3 linked regions of the Canis lupus familiaris genome follow. The protein of the gene in region 2 interacts with the protein of the main gene of each other region in a pairwise test. Links are inferred from orthologs where the notes say so. Each region holds a gene or a part of one and is shown on either strand. Other genes may lie near its edges.

Region 1 (7,294 bases), on a different chromosome or scaffold from region 2:
TCTCCAGTAAAAGGTGTTCTAGATGTAGGACTCTGTGCTTTCTGTTAGTGTCTAGCTGAAGGGCTGTTATATTTTCTGATAATATTTAGAATTAAAATAGAAACGTTTAAGACTATTTTTAAAAAACAAACATCTATATACAGAGATGAGGTCCAGAAGGTTATCACTCAATTGTCAAAGTTTACTGCTGGATTTTTGTGTGGAATAATTTCAGATTTATAGAAAAGTTGCAAAGATATTACAGACAGTTCTTGTATTGTCTGGTTCCTAATGTTACATCCCCCTGATCTTACATTACCATGGTACATTTGTAAAAGCTAAGAACCCAACACTAGTACATTACTGTCAGCTAAACTCTGAACTTCATTTGGGTTTCCCAAAATTTTCCATTAATGCCTTTTTTTTCCCCTTTAGTTTGAGGGTCCAACTTAGGATCCCATGTTGCATTTAGTCGTCATGTCTCCTTTGGTTTGTGACACTTTCATCTCCTCTTGATTTTCATGACTTTGACAGTCTTGAAGATGGCCAGGTATTTTGCTAAATGTCCCTCAATTGGAGTTTGTCTGATATTTTTTCCCCCACGATCAGATTCTGGTTAGGAGTTTTTGGAGAGAACATCACACGGGTGAAGTGTCCCTCTCATCACAGCAGTGGAGGCATGATGCATACATAACCTCTCACTGGCAACATTCAATTGTGGTCATCTATTATTTTCCAGATGGGATCTCTGTAAGTACCCTAAGAAATGTTCCAGATGCTGTGCCTGCTGTCCTGAGATCTCACCCCACTGGGCTTCACAAGGGATGGGATTTCCCTGATAACCGCTTCCCACCTTTTTGTCCTTTTGAGGAATTGCCAGTGTTTTCTAAAGTTGTTGCACTGTCTCACATCCCCACCAGCAGTGTATGAGAGGTTTTCTCCATATTCTCACCAACACCAGTATTACTTTTTTTTTAATTAATTAATTTATTTATGATAGTCACAGAGAGAGAGAGAGAGAGAGAGAGAGAGGCAGAGACACAGGCAGAGGGAGAAGCAGGCTCCATGCACCGGGAGCCTGATGTGGGATTCAATCCCGGGTCTCCAGGATCGCGCCCTGGGCCAAAGGCAGGAGCCAAACCGCTGCGCCACCCAGGGATCCCAGTATTACCTTTTTTGATTCTAGCCATTGCAGTGGGAATGAGGATACCTAGTGATATTTCGCTGTGATTCTCACTTGCATTTCCCTGATGACTAATGATGTCCAGCATTTTTTCATGTACTTGTTGGTCAAATGTATATTTTCTTTGGAGCCATGTTGATTCAGATCCTTTGCTCATTTTTAAGTTGGATTAGTTGTCTTTTTATTATTGAGTTATAAAAATTCTTTATATATTATGGATACAAATCTCTTTTTAGATAAATGATTTGCAAATATTTCTCCCATTCTTTTTGCTTTCCTTTTTTTTTTTAAAAAATATTTATTTATTCCTGAGAGAGAGAGAGAGGCAGAGATACAGGCAGAGGGAAAAGCACGCTCCACGCACTGAGCCCAATGCGGGACTTGATCCTGGGTCTCCAGGATCAGGCCCTGGGCCAAAGGTGGCACTAAACTGCTGAGCCACCAGGGCTGCCCTCTTTTCACTTTCCTGATGTGTCCTTTGCAGCAAAAAAAGTTTTAATTTTGATGAAGTCTAATATATCTGTTTTTCTCTCTTCAGGGCTTTTGGTGTCATAACAAAGAAAGCATCGCCTAATGCAAGGTCACAAAGATTTACATTTATGTTTTCTTTTAAGAGTTTTATAATCTAGCTCAGCTCTTATATTTAGGTACTTGATCTATTTTGAGTTAATTTTGTATACAGTGCAAGCTTCATTCTTTTGCAGGTGGCTATCTAGTTGACCTAGCACCCTATGTGGAAAGACTATTCTTTCCCCCACTAAATGGTTTGGTGCCTTTGTGAAAAATTAAGTGACCATATATGTAAGGAGTTGTTTCTGGATTATCAATTCTAAATTGTATATATTGATATTTTATTAATCTGTATGTCTATTGCAGTCCCACACTGTCTCAATTACTACATTTTTAAAAAATTTCATTTATTTATTAATGAGAGACAGAGACAGAGAGAGGGAGAGAGAGAGAGAGAGAGAAAGGCAGAGACACAGGCAGAGGGAGAAGCAGGCTCCATGCAGGGAGGGAGCCTGATGTGGGACTCGATCCTGGGTCTCCAGGATCAGGCCCTGGGCCGAGGGTGGTGCTAAACCCCTGAGCCACCTGGCCTCCCCATTACTATAGTTTTTAAAGTAAGTTTCAAAATTGGGAAATATGAGTGCTCTGACTCTGGTTTTCTTTTTTAAGACTGTTTTAGCTATTCTAGTTCCCTTGGATTTCCATATGAATTATAGGATCAGCCTGTCAATTTCTACAAAGAAACCAACTTGAATTTTGATGGGCATTGCATTTATCACTTTGTTTTTTGATGACACTTCAAATGAATATGCTATTTATGTTTATGCCATGAAATTTCGCTCCAATGGCAATGTGGTCCCAAGTTTTCCCATTAAACAATTAGAAAGCTTAAAATGACATGCTTATTTAGGACTTTACATACGAACACAGGCCTTTAGTTTCCTTAACGACTTTATTTCCAACAGTCGTTACTCAGTCATAAAAATCATCAAAATCATTGGCGGATGTGTTACGGTTTCTAGGACGTAAAGCAGCTTCAATTTCTGAGTTACTGTCATCAGACTCACCCCAGAAGGCTGGAAAAGAAAACCAGACAGCTATTTAACATCTCTCCACTCTGATCAGCTTGTCTTCAACAGCCAGACAAGGCCTGCAAAAGGCCTACCAGGGACATGGAGGGATGAACCCAACCACATGTGTCTGGAATGTGTGTCAATACTGCACAAATGCGAACATTTCAGTGTGTTCTATGGAAAACACTGCAGAATATTTCCTTCCCTTCTTGTGACCACCTCCTTACTGTAGGACGGGGGTTTAAGACCAGGGAACCATAGAAGCACAGCTAGCTAAGTATTTCATCAGACCGGGGACCACCTCAGCTCTGCTGCTCTGGCACTTTGATCTCCTCTGGTCTTCATAAGAGCAGATGAGAGAAGGGAAGATGTGGTGAAAGGAAAGAAGTGAGGTGCATACTGAGACCAGGCCTTGGGTGCACATAGCTTACTTGGGAGGTGATCCCTGGGAATGATGGGAGCAGCTAGAAGAGTGACACAGGAAGCAAGAGCCCACAGCGGGGTGGACAGTAGACAGGAGGCTCAGTCCTGAGGGTACCCTCTGAGACACTCAGAACTCTCCTCAAACTGTCCCAACAGAGCAAGGAAGTGGGGTTATTTCCCAACCTACTTCCACTTCTCATTGGTTGAGAGTTATTCTCAACCAGGGCACCCAGTCCCTGGCACTCTGGGCAGCCCCGTGGGGATGGTGCATGCTTCCAGGGCCAGAGAAAGCCCTCAGGCTGAGGCTAGCTGCCTGCAGTGGAAGGCCACGGCTGCCTGCAAACGGTGCTGCGATCTCCAAGATAGTAGGACAGAATGTGAGGGGGCATGGTCTGCTCAGTGACCATCTCCACGACCACTGTTATCTCCATGGGACTCACTGCCTGCCACTCTGTGATGATGGCTTATATTGAACCCCATTTCATCCTTGTACCAACCTGGGAAGGCAAGTATGACTGCCTCCATCAACTGAGCAAACAGGCGGAGAGGCTGTGACCACCCTGATCACAGCATTGGTGGGTGCTCCAGCCAGGAGTCCCATCCAGTATGTCTGACTTACACCTACACTCTCGATCAGGGCCCACTGGGAAGGGGGTCTAAGCAGACAGAGTAGGGGAGCCCAAGCTCCAAGGGATATGCCACAGCATTAGCATGCAAGGTGGAGGAGGTGCTCCCTGTGAGCTGAGGGTTCAGAGACGAATAGGGGCTCAGAGTGCGAAGGAAAAGGGTAGGAGCAGTATGAGGAAAGGCACAGAGGTACAAGTGTGGTATCCAGGCACACCTCATTTTCTCTGTGCTTTCAGAGATTGTGTTTTTTACAAATTGAAGGTTTGTGGCAACCCCACATCAGGCAAGCCTACTGGTGCCATTTTTCCAATAGCATTTGTTCATCTTGTGTCCCCGTCACATTTTGGTAATTCTCTCATTATTTCAAACTTTTCCATTATTATTTCATTTCATACAGTGACCTGTGATTAGTGATCATGACTCGCAGAAAGCTCAGATGACAGTTAGCATCTTTTAGTAATAAAGTGTTTTAAAAATTATTTTAAATTATGTTAATTAACATTTTTTTTAGACATAATGCTGTTGCATACTTAAGAAACTACAGTATAGTGTAAACACAACTTTTATAGGCACTGGGAGACCAAAAAATTTATTTGGTGTTATTACGATAATGGCTTTATTGCAGTGGTCTGGAACCAAGCTGCAATGCCTCCGAGGTATGTCTTTATTTGGAAAAAAAATGACTTAAGTCACGACCAGAAGAAGACAAGACCTTGCAAGGCACTGAGCTGGAAACAAGGGAAGGGATAGACTACAAGGGAGAAAGTTACAGACTCTATCCTGCACATAGTGGGGGACACCAGCAATTTTTAACCAGGAAGGTAAGAAGGTTCATTGAGGTTTTGGATGCTGGTGGCCAGGTAGAGGACAATCAGGACTTGGGGAGGGACTGGATATAAGGAAGCCAGTTAGTCTAATGCAAGAGCCCTGTCATGTCATGAGCAGTGGGTACTTGTGGGCACTCGCTGTGAGGTTGGGGACAGAGGCAAAAAACATTTCATAGGTAGAATATACCCGTGTTGACAACCAAGTGGATGTGGAGGCCAAGATACCCTGTGCTCATACTTGCAAATTAGAATGCTAAGCCATCGTGGCCCGTGGCCCCTCATGTGTCGTCAGGTCCCTGCCCTGCCACGGAAGAATGGTGCCTCGAGCAGCCCTCCCCTCCCCTCAGAAATGGGGAGGTGGAACGGCCCCCTGTGATCACAGGCACACTTCAGGCTCCTTACACGATGATGCAGAAAACAAATAGAAGGTCACAAACAACTCTTGATTAAAGCACAAAAGGAATCCTCTTACCTTTAGACTCTAAATTGGTAGTTAATTTCTTTTCGTTTTCATACCTGAAAGATAAAGAAATAGCCTAAGTCCTGAAAAAAAAATGACAATCAGACTGATATTTTTACAATGAGTGCATCAGCAAAGAAGCACGTACGATGCACGGAAAGGCCAGATATTTTATGTGTGCTCTCCAAGTCTTAAGAACAAGAAGAAAATGTCAGGACCACAGTGGCCAGAGGTGCTCGCTGATGCTTTGGGGGGTGGGTCCCTACTGTGACAGCATCACTCGTGTCCCTGAGCGCATTCCCTACTGGCTCTGCAGAGACCAGGTCAGTCTGTGCCTGCCGCTTGCAGCTAGACAACGAGGACATGGTCAGTGAGGCAGAGCACCGACTTCCCTCTGACAGCCCTCTAAAAACCACAAAATGCCAGAGCTTTGGCACTCTCAAACAAGCTAAAAGTCAAGTACCTGAAGTAGAGAATCCGGGATGGAATGCAAGAAGCTAGTGAGGAAGTGAAGACTCCTCTCCATCAAGCCAGTGATGGCAATCCTTAACAGCTTAGTAAGGGAGTGCAGAATAAACTCCCATTGTGCTTACAGAAATGCACTAAGGCACGGGAAAGAAAGACAAGGATCCCGGGCACCACTGTGTAAGTTTCTAGGTGTCACATGCACAAGATGCTAGTGTTTATGGCATCAAATACTAGCAATGTGGTCCTGGCAGGGTATCTGCTAGCATTTACATTTACAGATTATTTCATTAGAACAGATTCCACCCAGCCTTTTAGTTGAGTAGAATGAAGAAAACAGTTGCCAATGTGCACGGTCTGCTCCTGACCGGGACTCAGGTCCTCTTGACATAGGAAACACTGTTAACTCACCTTCTCCCTCCCTATGGCTAACCTGTGGCTTAAAAATCTGCTCTTTGCCATAGGTAATATTATTTATGTTTTTTCTTCTGTAAAATAAGCTCCAGTCAGGTTATTACTTTCTAGGCTCAATATCTTTCCACGCTTCCTTTAAACTTGGTACCTGTTTCATGATCTGCCATGACCACCTAGGGGCCGGAGCTATTTCCCCACGAAGAAGGGGCACCCCCATGGCCATCTGAGAGGGTCTGGCACTCACCAGCAGACATGGAGGTGGCAGAAAGGTGCTGCGCACATGGATCCATCTGACATGAAGTACTTAGCCTACACACCGCCCCCCCCCCCACACACATACACACTCTAAATGCAACTATTGTGTTGTGTGTCTACTGTTTACCTACTTCCCATTTCATGAGGACACTGGTCCAGAGGCGGAGGGCAGAGGTTGGTTATAACAATGCTGGTGGGGTACAGAGAGGATAATTTTCCAGCTGTAGCAAGGAGAGCTGCAGGGGGAGATGGGGAGAGAGCCAAGGGCTGGGAGAACTGTGAGAACAGAGTGGGTGGTAAGTGGCTGTAGGACCCCTGAGAAGGCAGGGTACCTCCTGGGCTCTGCTTTTAAAAGCTGAAGCAAACCTGGGACAGAGGAAAGGGGGATGCGGTGAGATGTGGTAGTGGAGCCCTTGGCAAGAGCAAGTGCAGAATAGCCAGTGAGCACAGGCCAGATCCCAGGGTGGAGGTTGGGGCAGCCACTTCTCGGAGCTCCAGAAACATGGCCAGGGCTCGCTCTACTTGGTTGCCTTCAAAGCGTCCTGTGGTCAACATGTCCATTCATGACCAAATTCACAATCTCCCCAGCGTGGTTCCCTTCTCCTGCCAGGCCAGGCCCCTCAAGTCTCTGTCAAAGGCACCTGGACCCTCTGTTCCCTCCCCAACTCCTTCTACTCCTGGACCCTCCTGCACCCAATCAAGGCCTACGTTCCACCAATTTATTTTCTAGTACTTCCTGAAGTCATTGCTCTTCCCTCTAGGCTGCCACCAACTATCCAACTACACCATCATCTCTTGCCTGGACCTTTGGAACAGCCCCTGATTGATGATGCCAAAAACATCATGTCCCCTGTAGTCCATTTTCCACTCAGCAACAAGAGTGAACTTGTTGAAACACAAGCCTGATTATCTCCACTTCATCGCTAAAGCCCCATGACGCCTTCCTATTGTTTTTTGGCAAAAGCCCTGAATCCTGAACAGCACCTCCAAGGTTGATCTCCAGACTTGGGTGGGCCCTTCAGCTCCTCATTCCTGCCCTCCCTCACCGCCACATTGAGTCCTCATCCAGGTTGCTGTC
Region 2 (7,442 bases):
CTGGGGGGAGGAGTACCTGTTGGTCTCCGGTGCCACAGGCACTGGTCTCCGAGGGCTGTCCTTCAGGAGCGGGTCAAACTTGAGGTACAAGGACTGTTTCCTCAGGGCTGACTCCTTGAACTGAAGGGACAGGCAAGTCACTGTCACCTGAGGAGGCCTTCCTCAGCATAGGACAGTGTGCACTCGAGTTTACCTTGGCATGGGAGCTTGAGATGGGCATTGGAAGCTGTGAGTGTGGCTTGGGAAGGGCCCTGGGTGGGAGGTTCCCAGGGAGGTGTGGACACCACAGTGGGGCAGTAGGGCCATCGTGATCTTAAGAGGTGTGATGGTGGCTCAGGGCTGTTCTAGAAAGAGCTCCCTCCTGAGAAGCATACTCAGGAAGAGATCACCACGAAGGTGCAGGTACTCACCAAGGAACTCCCGAACTGTTCCAGGTAGTCCACCTCAGCTCCCGTGCCTAGGACTGAGAGGCATAGGGTCAGGGCAGCCGTTACTGGCCCATGTGGGCGGGTCCTGCTGCTCAGGCACAGCAAACAGTAGCCCAGTGCTTCCCGCCCTGCAGCACTGAGGCTAGGACAATCCCTTTCCCTGCCTAGCCTGGACCTGCAGCCAACAATTCTGTGCTTTGTAGCGGGGTTTCTGGTCTCACGCTAATGACTCCTGGGGCCAGGGCACTTTGTGGGGTTGTCTTGTGTCCTGCAGGAGCTGAACAGCTTCGCTCCAGGCATGATGACCAAGTGTCCCCAGGACCAAACTGCCGTGGTTAAGAACTACTGTTTAACTGATTGATTGATTGATTAATTAATTAATTCATGAGAGACACACACACACACAAAGAGGCAGAGACACAGGCAGAGGGAGAAGCAGGCTCCATGCAGGGAGCCTGATGCGGGACTCGATCCCAGGTCCCCAGGATCACACCCTGGGCTGAAGGCGGTGCTAAACCGCTGAGCCACCCGGGCTGCCCAAGAGCTACCGTTTAGAACTACCCTAGAGAGTCCCTCGATTCCTGGTAACTTATATATATACACACACACACACACACACACACACACACACATATATACATGTTTAAAAAAAATCTAAGGGTGGCTAACATCATCTATGAAAATTAACTCAAAATCAAATGTAAATGTTACAATTGTAATGTTTTTAGAAAATGTAAGGGTAAATCCTTACGGTATTGACTTCACACCAAAAACACAAAGAAAAAAAACAAAAAAAGAGATAAACGGGACTTCAGGTTAACGTCTGTGCCTCAAAGGACACCATCGGGAGGGAGGAAGCCCACAGGATGGTAGACGGTTCCCTCCATGTCACACGTCTGGTAAGAAGTCCCCACCTATGATAGATCCAAAGGCCCTGACGACTCAACAATAAAAACGCAACAGTGGAACAGCAGGGGAAGGACCAGAGCAAACACTCTGCAGAAGGTCTGAAAGGCACAGGAAAGAGGCTCGTCACCAGGAAGATGCAGGTCAAAACACGCGGAGGTGCACCTGGCCCCCTGCACTCCCACCCTGGATGGCTGGAATCGGGTCACAGTGGCCCCGGGGGCGACAAGGCCTAGAGAAATTGGGACCCTCAAACACTGGTGCCCTGAGATCCTTATGTGCTGCAGCCACTTTAGAAAGCACCCTGGTGGTTCCTCAGTTTCACCCAGAGTTACTGCATGACCCAGATCACTTTCTAGGTTTATGCCCAAGACAACAGAACCCTCACAGACACATGAACACATGTATGTGAGAGCTCACAGCAGCCTTCAAATCGTCAAAAAGGACAAACAACCCCGACGCCCATCAACGGGTGGACTGATGTGCCAACTATGGCCCATCTGCGCGGTGCCGCGCTACCCGCCAGGAAAGGAAATGCTGATGTTGTGGTACAAGGTGTAGGACTCTAGAAAACCTGATGCGCAGGAAGACAAACCAGACATGGGACTCACAGGACTCCGGGGTCTCCGTGGCTTCTGTGCCACAGTGGTGAGAGCCCTGGGATCATTCCTCCACAGACCAACCCTGCATTCCATTTCCACTCTTCTCTAGGTGTGCAGGTTAAATAGGGAGCCCATCATGTTGCCTTACGGCTCTTGAGGCAGTTCAATTCCAGATTCCCCCTGGAACCACCTCAGGGCCTGCTGCGTCAGAGAGGTCAGAGGTGCTTGTGCCCCATCTAGGCTCCCCTCCAAAAGCATTTCCCCCAGAACTGGCAAGGCCCCACCCATGAATATGCAGTGCAGAGCCACATCCCCACCCCCAGCCCGCTTTCCTGAGCCCAATTTCTGGCCCCAGGACACCTTCACATTAGGGCTACATCCTGAGAGCATCCGTCTCCTGAGAAACCAGTGACCTCTGGGCGCCTTGCTTCAAGTCACAGCACGGAGTCTCCAGAAAAACACCTCTAAACACCAGTGCTTGGAGCAGTGTCCCGGTGGTGGGGACAGACAAGTGACCTGGGGACAACATACCCTCAGTGGGGTCTCGGAAGCACTCCTCCTTGGGGTCTGAGGCTGGCTCCGGGTCCTGTGGAGGACCTCCCAGGCTGCCTGCTGGAGCGGATGCCCCTGCGCGCTCTGCTGCTCCCTCCTGCAGGAAGGCCGGCTCAATTTGGGCAGCTTGGGCACCAGAGGTCCCGTGTGGGACCCGTGTCTCCCCCAGTCTTGGTGGGATAGGGGTGTGTAGGAGGCTCTGGGTGCTGCTCTGCGTCCCACCCCATCTCCACCAGCCTCCCTCTGCCCAAGGACCCACACAACGGAGGCATGGGCTGTGCTCGTGGCCCTACCTCACCCACCGTGCCTGGGGTCCCTGCCGCCGTCTGCACCTCATGTGCGTCCTCTGCCGAGGCTGTAGGCACCTGCCTGAAGAGATGGGGTCAGCAGGGCCTGTGCCCTAGCCTGGAGCTGCCTCATGAAGACTCGCCTGAGTGGCAGGGCCACCCCTCCCTACCTCAACTGCCCAAGAATCCTGTGCTCATGGGACTCGGCCAGGAGCTCCCAGGCTGAGTCTGCTCTGGGAGCCATCCCCAAAGCTTCACTGGTCCTGTTTCATTAGGACATTGGCAAACATGCTTGGGGGAGGGTCACCAGTTACCAGGGCCAGAATCCTCCCTAGCCGGACTGCTAGCCCCAACATGTACCTGCAGCTTGTTGGTGGGACAAGTGGCTGGGCACTGGCTAAGCTCCTCTTGGGACCCAGCACTCAGTGGCCACTAAGCAGCCATCCCCAGAGAGCACCATGAGAGGGCCAGAGCACCCCAGAAAGCATGGAGAGCCGCTCCACTGGCTCTCGGACTACAGACAGAATTCGCTAGAGAGCTTTCTAAATTTCCAGTTTTTTTTTTATAGACAATGCCCTTAGCAAGCATGTGGATAGCCCCACCCCTGTGGAGGGAACGGAACGGGGCTCCGCCATGGATGCTCCTCCACGATCTACAGTGGCTGTGAGCACCCTCCCCGGTCTTGGGATCCAGGACCAGCATGCCTCTGCAGCCTATGTGTGCCCCAAGACCCCTTCTCGGGGGCATGTATGTGCATCTCTGGTCTGTGGTCCTCTAGCGTGCACACTACCAAGCAGCTAGCTACTCCCCCACCACCAAGTACTCACTGGCTCAGAGGGGAGTACCCTGTGGCCTCGGGACCAGCATGCAACTTCTTGGCCATAGGTCCAGCTGGCCTGCTCTGGGGGCTTTCTGGGGGCTGGGCCTCTCTTCCACCTTCAAACGGGTTAAAGTCTGGGTCATCCAGCTTGTTCCAGTCCAGGTTGTAAGACCCCCGGAGAAGAGGAATGGGCTCCTCATCCGCCTCCTTGGGTGCATTTTCCTGTCTGGCCTCTGATACCCCGGAAGGAGGTTTAAGGCTGGGTCTCTCCCCCAGTTCCCTTTTGCTGGTGGCATTGTCAGAGAAATCAAATTCTAGCCTTATAGGTCTGTTGCTCCACGAGCTGACCCTTTGGTCATCAGCTTCTTCCTTCTGAGGACTTGGGGATGGGGCCCCTCTAGCCTTCAGAGGGCTGGCCAGGATGGTGTTCCTAGGACCAAAGGGGTCCTCAGGGCTGGCTGGGGCCTTGCCAGGCAGGTCTGCGAAGGGTCCTTCTGCACATGCTTCTGTAGGCTGAGTGCCAGGTGGCCAAGTAGCCCCGGATGAGGATGCAGGGACCTGGTTTGAATTTTCTCTGGCAGCTCTGTGAGGGTCTTCTGTTCTGTCTTGGGGAGCCATCTGGGAAGAGTCTTCTAGGATTTCAGAGGTGGATATAATACTTTTCTCTAAGAAATAAGAACGAACACTTTCCTCCAAGGCTTGCTCAGGGCTCACAGACGTTTGTCCTAGAGAAGCCACTTGATTTTCAAGACTTTCTGGCATCTGGGGAGAGCTTGAGGGATCCAGGCTGGCCAGGTGAGTGGAGGTGGGCCCACTGGAATGCCGCCTATCTTCAGAGACTGCTCTCACATCCCCAGGAGGGGGGTTGGCATTGGTCATCATTGGTTTCTGGAGAATTCCATTGGTCATTTTGAGGTCAACCTCCTTTGTAAGCTGTTGACTTTTTAGAAACAAATTTAGTTAATATTAAGGAACCTATTAGCTTTTTAATTATAATTCAGTCCACGAGAACACGTTAGTTACAAACAGGAAAGAGGAATGTTCAATCAACACTCTTTTTAGGATTAACTTTAGCAAGTATGTGCTCATAAATCAAAGCTGGTGGGCCAACTAGATCACACAAGTTTTGTTTGTTCGTTTTAAAGTTTACTTATCAGGTAGAGAAAGACAAGGAGAACAAGTGATCACAAGCAGGGGGAGGTGCAGAAGGTAAGGGAGAAGCTGACTCTGTTGAGCTAGGAGCCCAATGCAAGGCTCGATCCCAGCACCCTGGGATCATGGCCTGAGTTGAAGGCAGAAGATTCACCAGTTGAGACCCCAAACACCCCTAAATCACACAGATTCCTAAGAGATATAGTACAGATGTGACAAATAATTAATCAGTTAAGGTTTTCTGTGCTAGCTGATTTCCCCCTTTCAGGTAAGGGCCACTAGCTACACAGTCAGGAACAGGGCACAAGAAGGTCAAGATTTTCACCAAAGAGAAAGGCAAGATCGAGAGCTCTGCCTTCTGACAGAGCAGGGTTTGACACTGAGAACACCCAAGGCTGGCTTGCAAGTAGAAAGGAGTCCCTATTGGGTGTGAATAAAGAACCATAACCACAGAGCATCCTTCCTTGGAGTTGTGATCAGACATTTCATGAAATTAGAGAAACAAAACCCAGGCCAATCTGCTGGCAAAGGCACAGTAAAGGAGTGGAACATAAACTTATTTGGGGCACTTGGTGGCTCAGTCTGATTTGAGTTCATCTCAAAAGTTGAGTGTTTAACTCTTGAATTCAGCTCAGGCCGTGATCTTAGGGTATGAGGTGATCTCAGGGTGTGAGGTTGAGGTTCTCTCTCCTTCTCACTCTTCCCCTCCCCACTCCTGCTCTCTTTTAAAATATATAAAGACCTTAAAAAAAAAAAAAACCCAACAAAAAACCCCTTAAACTTTGTTCTGTATTTTTCGTCATTTGCTTTTCTACTAACAAATGACCTCTAATGCAAGCGAGCCAGGCAACACACTGCACGAGCTCAGAGCAGAAACTAGGAGGAACTCAACCAGATGTGACTGAGGACAAAACAATTTTCCTGCCACATCCCCTGGAGGGGTTACAAATTGCAGCACATCAGGGAAACCTGGGTGGCTCAGTGGTTGAGCATCTGCCTTGGGCTCAGGTCATGATCCCTCTGCCTACATCTCTACGTCTCATAAATAAATAAGATCTTTATTTTATTTTTCAAAGATTTTATTTATTTATGCTTGAGAGACACACAGAGAGAGGCAGAAACACAGGCAGAGAGAGAAGCAGGCTCCATGCAGGAAGCCCGATGTGGGACTTCGATCCTGGGACTCAGGGATCATGCTCTGAGCCAAAGGCAGATGCTCAACCGCTGAGCCACCCAGGTGTCCCTAAATAAGATCTTTAAAACAACCAACCAAACCAAACAAACTGCAATACATCAAGCAGCATCAGCAACTTACTTCTCTTTCTGGATCCGGTTTTGAGGAGAGTTTTCTAACCCAAAAGCATCCTCCAGAGCAAAAGGAGCCTCGAGCTTGCTGCTCATGCCAGGACTTAATATCCGATGTGTCTGTGGGTCCCGAAGAGGAGTCTGAAAAGTCACCTGTTGGGAGAAGAGACCTGTTCAATAATTCAAGTCTTGAGCAACTCTGCCGGCAGTGCCCTGCCCACTTCCCTAAGTCCCCAGGAAAGCAAGTCCCAGGGTGATCGAAGGCGTGACACACAGTAGTTAACAGGGGCAAAACATGCTTACTTTCATAGCTTTGACTACGCTCTTGGGTGGCACATTTTCTTTTTGTGACAGACGAAGAACAGATAGTCTTCCAGTAAGTTCCGGTGGTGAAAACAGGAACTCATGGTTTTCTGTACTTTTGTCACCAGTGACGTTTTCATCGTTGCAGATCTGCAGACTCATTCTGGAAAAGCAGACACTTTGCGTCAGTGGGAGGGCTGTGCAGTTTGGATGAATGGCCAGTGCAAGAAGCTGGCCTCACATGGGAGATGTCCCCTTCCTGCACAGGTGGGTCCCATCTCAGGCAGCATGTCCTGGGCCAGACAGTCCTTGTCCTATTTTAGGGCAGCTGTCACTTCTCAAGAAAAGAGGTTTAAGGGCCCTCAGGCCGTAAAGGGAGGAAGAAGAATCAGGTCCTGAAAACCACTGGGGTTTAGTGGTGAAGGTCAGGAGACAGGGGTGCTGGGCTGTTGGAAAGCCTGGGTCTCCCCTCAGGCCTTTGCTTAAGGAACAGGCCACAGCACAGCTCCAGCAGGCTGCTAAGTCAGCTGAGCGCAAGAAACAGAAGAGTGCTGTGGCTTGCTCTCCCATCACAGGCTGGGAAACAGAGAGCACCCTGGGGGCTCATGAGGGCCCAGCCCCAGAGAAAGAGCTGGACAAGGCACCAACCAGCAAAATGCAGCATGACTTGATGGGGACTACACTGAGACCTGGAGTCTAGAAACATGCACCAGTGACCTACACAGAGGCCCAGAATGTTCTAGAACAGCCCCCACTCCTCCTTCCCCAAGGTCCTCATGATGGTCACGTCATCAGTGTGACACTCCCAAGCCAGGAGTCACCAGAGGACCCATCTGTGGGAGTATCACAGGTGTTTCTGGTGTTGGGGATGCTGGAGACTGCAGCTTGAGGAGCCAGGCCAGGGCAGCTGGGGCAGAGGAAGGAGGCTGGCCTGGAAAGAGGTGAGTCAGGGTAACAAGATGCCCTGGCAGGAATGTGGAGGCCAGGGAAAGGGAGGAGGGAAGTAGGGGGTCCTAGGCTTCTGCAGCCAGCCAGGGGTGCAGTTGTCGGCCCTGGCTGGCCAGCAGGCCTCTAAGGATGTGGAAGC
Region 3 (8,242 bases), on a different chromosome or scaffold from region 2:
TGGCTCGTCCTCCTCCTGAACTCTCCCAAGGGGAGTCCCTGACACAGGCAAGGAGCTACTAAGGGGAGATGGGTCCGCTTAAGAACCCCAGGCGGTGGCTCCCCTGACTCCCACAGGGGCGGAAAGCACACCTCTTTGGATGGGAGTTGACCTTCCGGCTCCGCCCCAGACTTGCTGTGGGACTCTAAGTGAGTGGCTACCCCGCCCTGGGCTTCAGTCTACTCCTCTGTAAACGAAGGATAATAGCCGTCCCTCCTACATGGGGCTGTAATGAGGGCGAAAGGGGCAAAGGCACAGGGTGCTGTCGCACAGAGCTGCTATCAGCGATAGGGCTCATTCAATTGTCATTATTCCTGTCTCTGTCAGCTAAGAGACCAGCGGGCTCCTTCAGGTAGAGGATGGGGGGACCTCCGTGCACATAAGGACACCACCCGTAATTATAGCCACGACAGCAACCCCGGCACACAGATACTGAGCACCTACTGTGTGCCACGCACTGCCCTAAAGTCTTCCCATGTACTAACTCGGGGGTCAGCCAGCTGTTCCTGCAAAGAGCCAAATGGTTGATATTTCCAGCTTTGTGCAATGACTCAGTTGAGCCTTGTAGCTCAAAAGCAGCCGTGGCCAGTACATACATAAGCAGGCATGGCTGTGTCCCAGTGAAACTGTTGATGGACATGGAAATTTGAATTTCATATCCATTTCATGTGTCGTGGAGTACTATTAGTCTCTAACCTTTCCCCCACCATTTACAAAATGTAAAAGTCATTCTTAGCTCCCGCGAGGTACAAAAATAGGTGGCTGGCCACCCCCATTAACTTGCTATCAGCCCTCCGGTGAGGGCTCTGATTCCTCCCAGGACTGCCAAACACAGTTGCCCACTCTGTTCACTGCAAAATGTTCAGGCAAGAGAGGGCTGAAGACCAGCCATGTTCCATTTGCCTAAAGAGCTGTGTCCACCCACAGGGGGTGCTCATGGGGCCCCCAATTATCCCCACTTTAAAGATGCAGGGACTGAGGCCAGGGAGGCTGGGAAAGTTCCCTATAGTCACAAATGAATGAATGGAGGAGCTTTCACAAGTGGAGTCCGCACACTAGTTCTGCAGGAGCCCCTCTCAGACATGGAAATGGATTGTGCAAAGTGGCGAGGAGTGTCACACCTGAGGAAGTCGGGTGCCCGCAGGATCATGTTCTGGAAGTCTTCCAGGGAGAGCCGCCCATCGTGGTCCCCATCGGCCTCATCTAGCACCTTCTCGCACACCAGGCTCACCTCCTCAGCGCTCAGCTCCCCTCGTGTCAGCTTGGTCACTGTCTGCTCCAGGTCCCATGCACAGATGTAGCCGTCATTGTTAAAGTCTGTGCAGTGGGATAGAGGGGATGTGGAGTGGGGGCACAGCTGGGGGTAGACAGGCCGGGCCTCTTGTCCCCTTGTTGCAGAGGAGGAAACTGAGGCACCGGAAGGAGCCCAAGACCCTGGGGTAATAGCTGGATCTTGCTTTAGAATTGGGCAGAGTCCTGCTGGGAGGTCATTCATTCCCCCCATAAGTATTTACTGAGGACCTACTATGTGCCGGGCATATGTGACTGTTTTTAATCTACAAGTATTTAGTGAGTGCCTACGATGTTCTAGGCACCGTGATAAAGTTTTGTTCATTTGACAAGCTTTTAGTGAGCACCTACTGAATGCTAGGTGCTGTGATAAATTTTCTGTCAGTTAGTCACACAATATTGAATGCCTACTTTTTCCCAGGCACGGAAGACAGATGGGGACAAAAATAGATACTCTTGCTGCCCTTGGGTTTCATCAGAGAGAAATCAGTATGAAGAGGAATGAAGCAGCACTGCTCCATGCTGGGAGAGGAAATAGGATGTGGGGTGTAGAGTGGTTGAAGGTGGAAGCTGCTTTTGACCTAGACTTCAAGGTAAGCAGGAGTCAAGGCAGAGCTGTTCCAGGCAGAGGGAACAGCAGATGCAAAGTCCTAGAGGGAGGAGGAGTTTGGGGAGCTGGAGGAAGAGAGAGGCCAATGTGGCTGGAAAGGAGTAAGGGGATGAGGTCAGCAAGTAGCAATATGGGGCGCAGGACAAGTCCATGCGGGGCCTCAAAGCCCCCTGGGGAGACATCTGTGACTGCAGGGCAGCTCCTGGCCCCACACCTGGTCTTGTTCCCACCCCCACCCCACCCCCATGTTCCCCTACCCCCGAGCTCTGCACACACCATAAATTTTAAAAGCATAGTAGGCTTTGAGGTCGCGGGGAGCCATTTCACTCATTACGGAAAACATGTCCAGGAAGTTGTCCAAGGTCATGTGGCCGTCCCCATCCTCAGAGAACACCTGGGCAATCCTCTGGCGGAACGGGTTGTCCTGGGGACAAGAAGCAGGGAGGGGACTCAGGGCACCATATGGGATCACTCTCAGCACCCACCTTCCTGAAACCTTCAAGTACCCCCCATCTGAAAACTTCCTCCCTCCCGCGGTCCCAGGAGAGGACTTCAGGCAACTCCTGCCTCTGCCCCTGTGATCTTGGTGGCCTTGACCCACTTCTGGTTCCGGATGCAGCCACCTGACTGGTTGAGGTCGATCAGAGGTCACTCTCCATTGACAACCGTGATTGACTCTGGGGGAGGCTGGGGGCGGGGGGCTCAAACTGGCCAGAGGCTGCCCTGGGATGGTTCCCGAAAGATGGAGGTGGAGGGATCTGCTTTCTGCTGGTCACAGAGTTGACCAGAGGAATCTGGGGCTGTTGGGGCTTCCCTTCACTACCTCAAGCAGACAGGCTGCCTGAGACTGAAGCCCCCTCCTGGGAGGAACTGGGAGGTGGAGGGAGACTCCCGAGCATGACCTCAGAGACCCTGGTTCCAGCTGTACCTGGCGCTAGCTCTGCCCCTAGAGTTTTTTCTCCTGTGTTCCATTATATTTCATCCCTCTCGAATGAGGTTTCTGTCCCTTGTGATAAAATCATCTCTACTCAGTCACTCACCCCACAAGTCACCTTTTGGCAACACAAACTACATGACAAACATCCAGCAGAAAAGAACCTGCTTTTTTAGTGGCTCTTGCCATGAGAAGCAGAACTCCCATTCCCTGAGCACTTGCCATGCAATAGGCCCTGTGCCAAGTCCTTTACCTGCACTATCTCATCTCATCGTTCGGACAACCCCAGGTTTGAATCCTGTCTCTGTCACATCCTAGCTGTGTGACCATGACCAAATGTCTTAACCTCTCTGAACCTCACTCACTTCTTTCATCTGTAAAATGTATCCGCTTCATAGGAATGCAGCAGGGAGCATCTCTATTTTCCCCCTCCCTACCCCATGGCCCACGCACACCTTCAGCTCGGGCATGCTGCTGATGAGCTCGTAGGGCACCTTCACATCAGGACAGCTGGTATAGTCGAGGGGGACAAGCTGGGGAGCCAGGTCCTGGTAGCGATAGAAGAGCCTGGTGTGGGGAGGGAAACACCAGGAAAGGCTGGGAGATGGGGTGGGAAGGGCTTTTCCCTTTTCTCTCATTCTTGCAGCTACTCGCTACACATCATGGGTGCCCAAGAGTCATCAGCTCTAGGCCCAGCCCTCAGGCACACAGAGCCGAACACAGACACATGTACCCCCTGGGGACAGGGCCAAAGTGGATAAAGGACCCCAGAGCTAGGGGAGACTTGAGTGAGGACACTGGTACTGGGCTTTGAAGAATGAATAGGAGCTGACCAGGCAGGTGGGGACAGCAAAAAGGAGAGTGCTTAAGGCAAGATCATTGCACGCCAAACATTCAGAGAATCTGAGTGAATCTATGAATCCTGGATATTATCACAATGTTGGCAAGACTCTGCCTCTAAAGACTCCCTATTCTCACATTTTCCTCTCATCCCAGAATGTGAGGGTTCTCTAAATGGGGAGAGCAGAGACAAAGGCCAATATTCAGGATTTTTTTTAATGCATGCAAGGCATTTTGCAAAACACCAAGTGCCACCCCCACTACCTAGATTGTGAGGCCAGCTCTCCACTCCAATGTCCTCCCTGCTGATGCTCTATTTTCACCAGAGGCATGAGGCTAGGCAGCCTGGTAGAGACCATGCTTGGTGAGTCAGAGGTCCCCAAGCTGCTAGGGGTTGTTTCTGAGAGAGATGAGGAGCTCTTTGGGAGCTCTTTGGACCCAAGGGCTCCTTGGGTCATATGATGGCTAGGAACTCAAGAATGGGGTATCTGGAATTTAAACCCTGACCACCCAGTTCTCTGCCCAGGCTGCCTCATGGAACAGCCTGGGTTTGGGCTTCTGTATGGCCTTGAGCATGTCCTTCTTCCCCTCTGAGCTTCGTTATTATGCTGCCAAATAAGAAGCTCATGATGGACAAAACACCAGCCCTCAAGTTCCTTGGAGCTCTGCCCATTTGCAGAGCTGGGGCCAGCTCCCCTGTCCAAACCTCAGTTTCCCCATCAGTAATCTGATCATAATGGCCAGGATGACCCTACGAGCTGTCCTCACCCAGACAATGGGGCTCACTGGTGAAAGGTGTGCCCATCAATAATGGATATCCCATGCCCACACAATTGGGGCCTTGGCCCCTATCACTCTGTATCTGAACCCCAGCCAGCTTGGGTTTCACAGCTCCAAGTTCATCGGTCGGGGCCTTTGGACAATGGCCCCAGGCTGAGCAGTAATGTGGGATACTCATGTATGCCTCTCTCGCTCACACAAGCGACCTGCAGCAGCATCAGGCTGCCTACCCACACCCTTACCTTGGTGCCACCCCCACAGCCCAGAGATGACTCTAGACTCTACCCCCAGGTTCCCAGCCTCCAGTCCCAGCCTCTTTACACTGGGCTCAGGGGATCTTTCTAACATGCTGATACGTCTCCCCCCAACTCTCCAACCCCGGTCACATATTCTCCATGGCTCCGCACAACCCATGGGAGAAAGCCCAAGCTAATCAACCTAGAGACTGTGACAATATGACAGGATGTGGCTTCTCATCGTCCCCATCTCTGCCTCCATCCCCTGACCATGCCTGCAATCCCCCCCTTTGCATTTTAACCACCATGAGGCACTCAGTCCTGTCCAATTGCAAACATCCTCCAGCAACGGATAGAAAATGGTCCTAGGTCTTCCTCTCTTTCTCCCCAGACCGACCTCATGATTTCCTTTCTCGTGAAGAAGGTGCAGTCCTGCGGAGAGAGATGTTGACTTGGCCCAGAGCCTGCCTCAGGGGCTTCCTTCCTCTCCCTCTCCCTGCATGCCCATCTCTGCCTGATGCTGCATGCAGAGCTGCACCAGAAACCCTTGCTGACTGCACAGCCAGGACAAATGATGCTGTCCCCACTTCGCAGGCCGGGGAAACCAAGGCTGCTAAGCCTACTGAGGGCCTAGCCCATCACCCCTACCTGATATGCTTCCAGCTGCTCATGAGTGAAGACTGTCTGCTTGTTGCCCATGGGAAAGACCACTGCCGGGACTCAGGAACAAGCCCCCAGTCTTCTCAGAGCCACACGGGTTGCCAGGCTGCTGCACATCAGCGTCTGGGCAAATATCCCTGCCCTGGCCGTCACCTGCCCACCTGCCCTGTCACCCCCAGCCTGGGTGAGATCAAGTTACAGCTGAGCTCTCTGGGCAATAGCCTGAGTATGTCCATGGCCACCAGGACAAGAAGGACTGTCGGAGGTCACAGAACAGCAGACCATGTCTGCCACGACTGGGTGAGGCTGAAGGCATGGGGCACCTTCCAGAGCCAGGCAGGGTGATGAAGAGACTGCAACATATCCCAACTCAAATACCAGTTCTCCACCCAGTAGCCTTGTGCCTTAGACAAGTCACCTGGTCTCTCTAAGCCTCGTTTGTAAGATGGAAGTTATATTAGTACCCAACTCATCAAGTTGCCCTAAGACCAAACAAGATCATTAATGCAACCAAAAAACCCCCAATTTTTTGATATTGGGTATGAGCCAGTTTTAGGCACTGGGAGCATAATAACTGGGTGAAAGAGATAAATGAGGTCCCCAGGTGTGCATTGGAGATGATGATGATGATGATGATGATGATGATGATGATATGACTTAAGAAAAGTGATCCAAGGTATAAGTTTGAGAAACAATCAGTTAAATGATACCAAACAGAATTCTTTATTGCAGGACTTGTCAGAGCCTTTAGCATGCTGATGTTCACCATGCATCCTCAATGGGTAGGTACAATGTAGTAGCTGCCAACTTTATTAAGACCCAGAATCCTTTTGGGCAGAACACCTAAAGGTCAAAAATCCTTTAACCCAGTGCTCTATGCTTGTCTTGTTCTGGATCTCTCCTGTCTCTCCACTTTGTTCTCCTGCTCAGCCTTTTCCAGTGCCACACTCCAGGCCCCCTAAACTGCTCTTGGATCTTCCCTTTCCCTCATCCCCACTCGTTCTGGTCTGGACGATCACAGTTCCTCCCATTCTCATCAACCCTCCTCAGCCCCAGTCTGTGAAGTCATCTCGTAGAATGTAACTATGATCAGGCTTCAAACACCCCCTTAGGATGATTTTTTTTTAAAAAAAACTGACAATATCAAGTGTTGGAGAGGATGTGGGGCAACTGGAACTTTCATTAATTGCTGATGGTGATGCAAAATAGTTTAGCCACTCTGGAAAATGGATCAGAACTTTCCTATAGTTAAACATATACTTACCACATGACTCAGCCATCCCACTCCCGAGTAGTTACCCAAGGAAAATGAAAAGATCTATGGGCACACAAAAACATGTACATGCCCACAGCATGAAGAAAATACTTGCAAATCATATATCTGATAAGGGACTGATCTCTAGAATATATAATGAACTCTAATGAGACTACAATAAAAAGACAAATTGCACAAATTTTTAAAAATGGGCAAAGATTGGGGGGGGTGAATAGATGGAACACAGGATTTTTATGGCAGTGATTTTTTTTTAAAGTAAGCTCCACACCCAGCATGGGGCCCAATGCGAGGGTTGAACTCATGATCCTGAGATCAAGGCCTAAGGTGAGGTCAAGAGTCAGATGCTTAACCAACTGAGCCACCCAGATGTCCCTTTGGCAGTGAATCTACTCTGTATGATACTGTAATGGTGGATACATGCATTATACATTTGTCCAAAACCATGGAAGACACAATACCAATAGTGAACCTTAATGTAAACTTTAGATGATATGATGTGTCAATGTAAATTCATCGCGTGTAACAAATGCACTAGTCTTGTGGGGGATGTTGGTAATGGGGGAGGCTGTGGGTTTGTGTGTGGGGGGAACAGAAAGCACATGGGAAATCTCTGTACCTTCTGCTCCATTTTGTTGTGAACTAAAATTGCTCTAAAAATAAAGTCTATTAAAACAAAACAGAACAGGTAAGGGATTTGAGTAGACATGTCTCCAAAGAAAATATACAAATGGCAAATAAGTATATGAAAAGATGCATAACATCATTAGTCATTAGGGAAATGCAAATCAAAACTACAATGAGATATTACTTCACACCCACCAGGATGCCTATAACAACAACAACAACAACAACAACAACAACAACAACAACAACAACAAAAAGACAGACAATAGCAAGTGTTGGCCGGGATGTGGAGATACCGGAACCCTCATACACCACTTGTGGGAATGTTAAGATGGTGCAGTTGCTTTGGAAAGCAGTTTGGCAGTTCTTTAAAAGGTTAAACATAGGGACACCTAGGTGGCTCAGCTGTTGAGTGTCTGCCTTCAGCTCAGGGCATAATCTTAGGGTTCCGGGATCAAATCTTGCATCAGGCTTCCTGCGAGGAGCCTGCTTCTCCCCCTGCCTAAGTCTCTGCTTCTCTCTGTGTGTCTCTCATTAATAAATAAATAAAATCTTAAAAAAAGATTTTATTTATTTATTCATGAGAATACACAGAGAGAGAGAGAGACAGAGGCAGAGACACAGGCAGAGGGAGAAGCAGGCTTCATGCAGGGAGCCCAATGTGGGACTTGATCCCGGGTCTCCAGGATCAGGCCCTGGGCTGAAGGCAGCACTAAACCGCTGAGCCACTCAGGTGCCCAAAATCTTTTTTTTTTTTTAAAGATTAAGCATAGAGTTACCATATGACCAGCAATTTTACTCCAAGCTGAACATAACTGAAAATATGTCCACTTAAAAACTTGTATGTGAATGTTCATAGCAACATTGTTCATAATAGCCCCCAAAGTAGAAACTACCCAAATGATTGTGGTCCATTCGTACAATGGAATATTATTCAGTCATATAGAGGAATG

The links.
Region 1: the proteins of TACC3 (region 2) and KIZ interact in binary tests that used the Homo sapiens proteins (3 or more experiments, as listed by UniProt). The two-hybrid records come from large-scale screens. The link is inferred for Canis lupus familiaris from reciprocal best matches to the Homo sapiens genes TACC3 and KIZ.
Region 3: the proteins of TACC3 (region 2) and CIB3 interact in binary tests that used the Homo sapiens proteins (3 or more experiments, as listed by UniProt). The two-hybrid records come from large-scale screens. The link is inferred for Canis lupus familiaris from reciprocal best matches to the Homo sapiens genes TACC3 and CIB3.

Annotation. Positions count from the first base shown.
Region 1 is NC_049245.1:2,556,615-2,563,908, forward strand, and holds the end of KIZ (centrosomal protein kizuna), read right to left. Parts: intron 5,139-7,294; coding exon 5,095-5,138; intron 2,749-5,094; coding exon 2,645-2,748; 3' UTR 2,606-2,644; downstream 1-2,605. UniProt on the Homo sapiens protein: Centrosomal protein required for establishing a robust mitotic centrosome architecture that can endure the forces that converge on the centrosomes during spindle formation. Required for stabilizing the expanded pericentriolar material around the centriole.
Region 2 is NC_049224.1:62,904,193-62,911,634, forward strand, and holds part of TACC3 (transforming acidic coiled-coil-containing protein 3), read right to left. Parts: intron 6,519-7,442; 5' UTR 6,518-6,518; coding exon 6,356-6,517; intron 6,206-6,355; coding exon 6,063-6,205; intron 4,536-6,062; coding exon 3,603-4,535; intron 2,858-3,602; coding exon 2,782-2,857; intron 2,586-2,781; coding exon 2,468-2,585; intron 464-2,467; coding exon 411-463; intron 121-410; coding exon 17-120; intron 1-16. UniProt on the Homo sapiens protein: Plays a role in the microtubule-dependent coupling of the nucleus and the centrosome. Involved in the processes that regulate centrosome-mediated interkinetic nuclear migration (INM) of neural progenitors.
Region 3 is NC_049241.1:46,720,809-46,729,050, reverse strand, and holds the start of CIB3 (calcium and integrin-binding family member 3), read right to left. Parts: upstream 5,429-8,242; coding exon 5,378-5,428; intron 5,162-5,377; coding exon 5,127-5,161; intron 3,441-5,126; coding exon 3,329-3,440; intron 2,364-3,328; coding exon 2,216-2,363; intron 1,357-2,215; coding exon 1,161-1,356; intron 1-1,160. UniProt on the Homo sapiens protein: Acts a an auxiliary subunit of the sensory mechanoelectrical transduction (MET) channel in hair cells. Plays a role in regulating hair cell MET channel localization and function.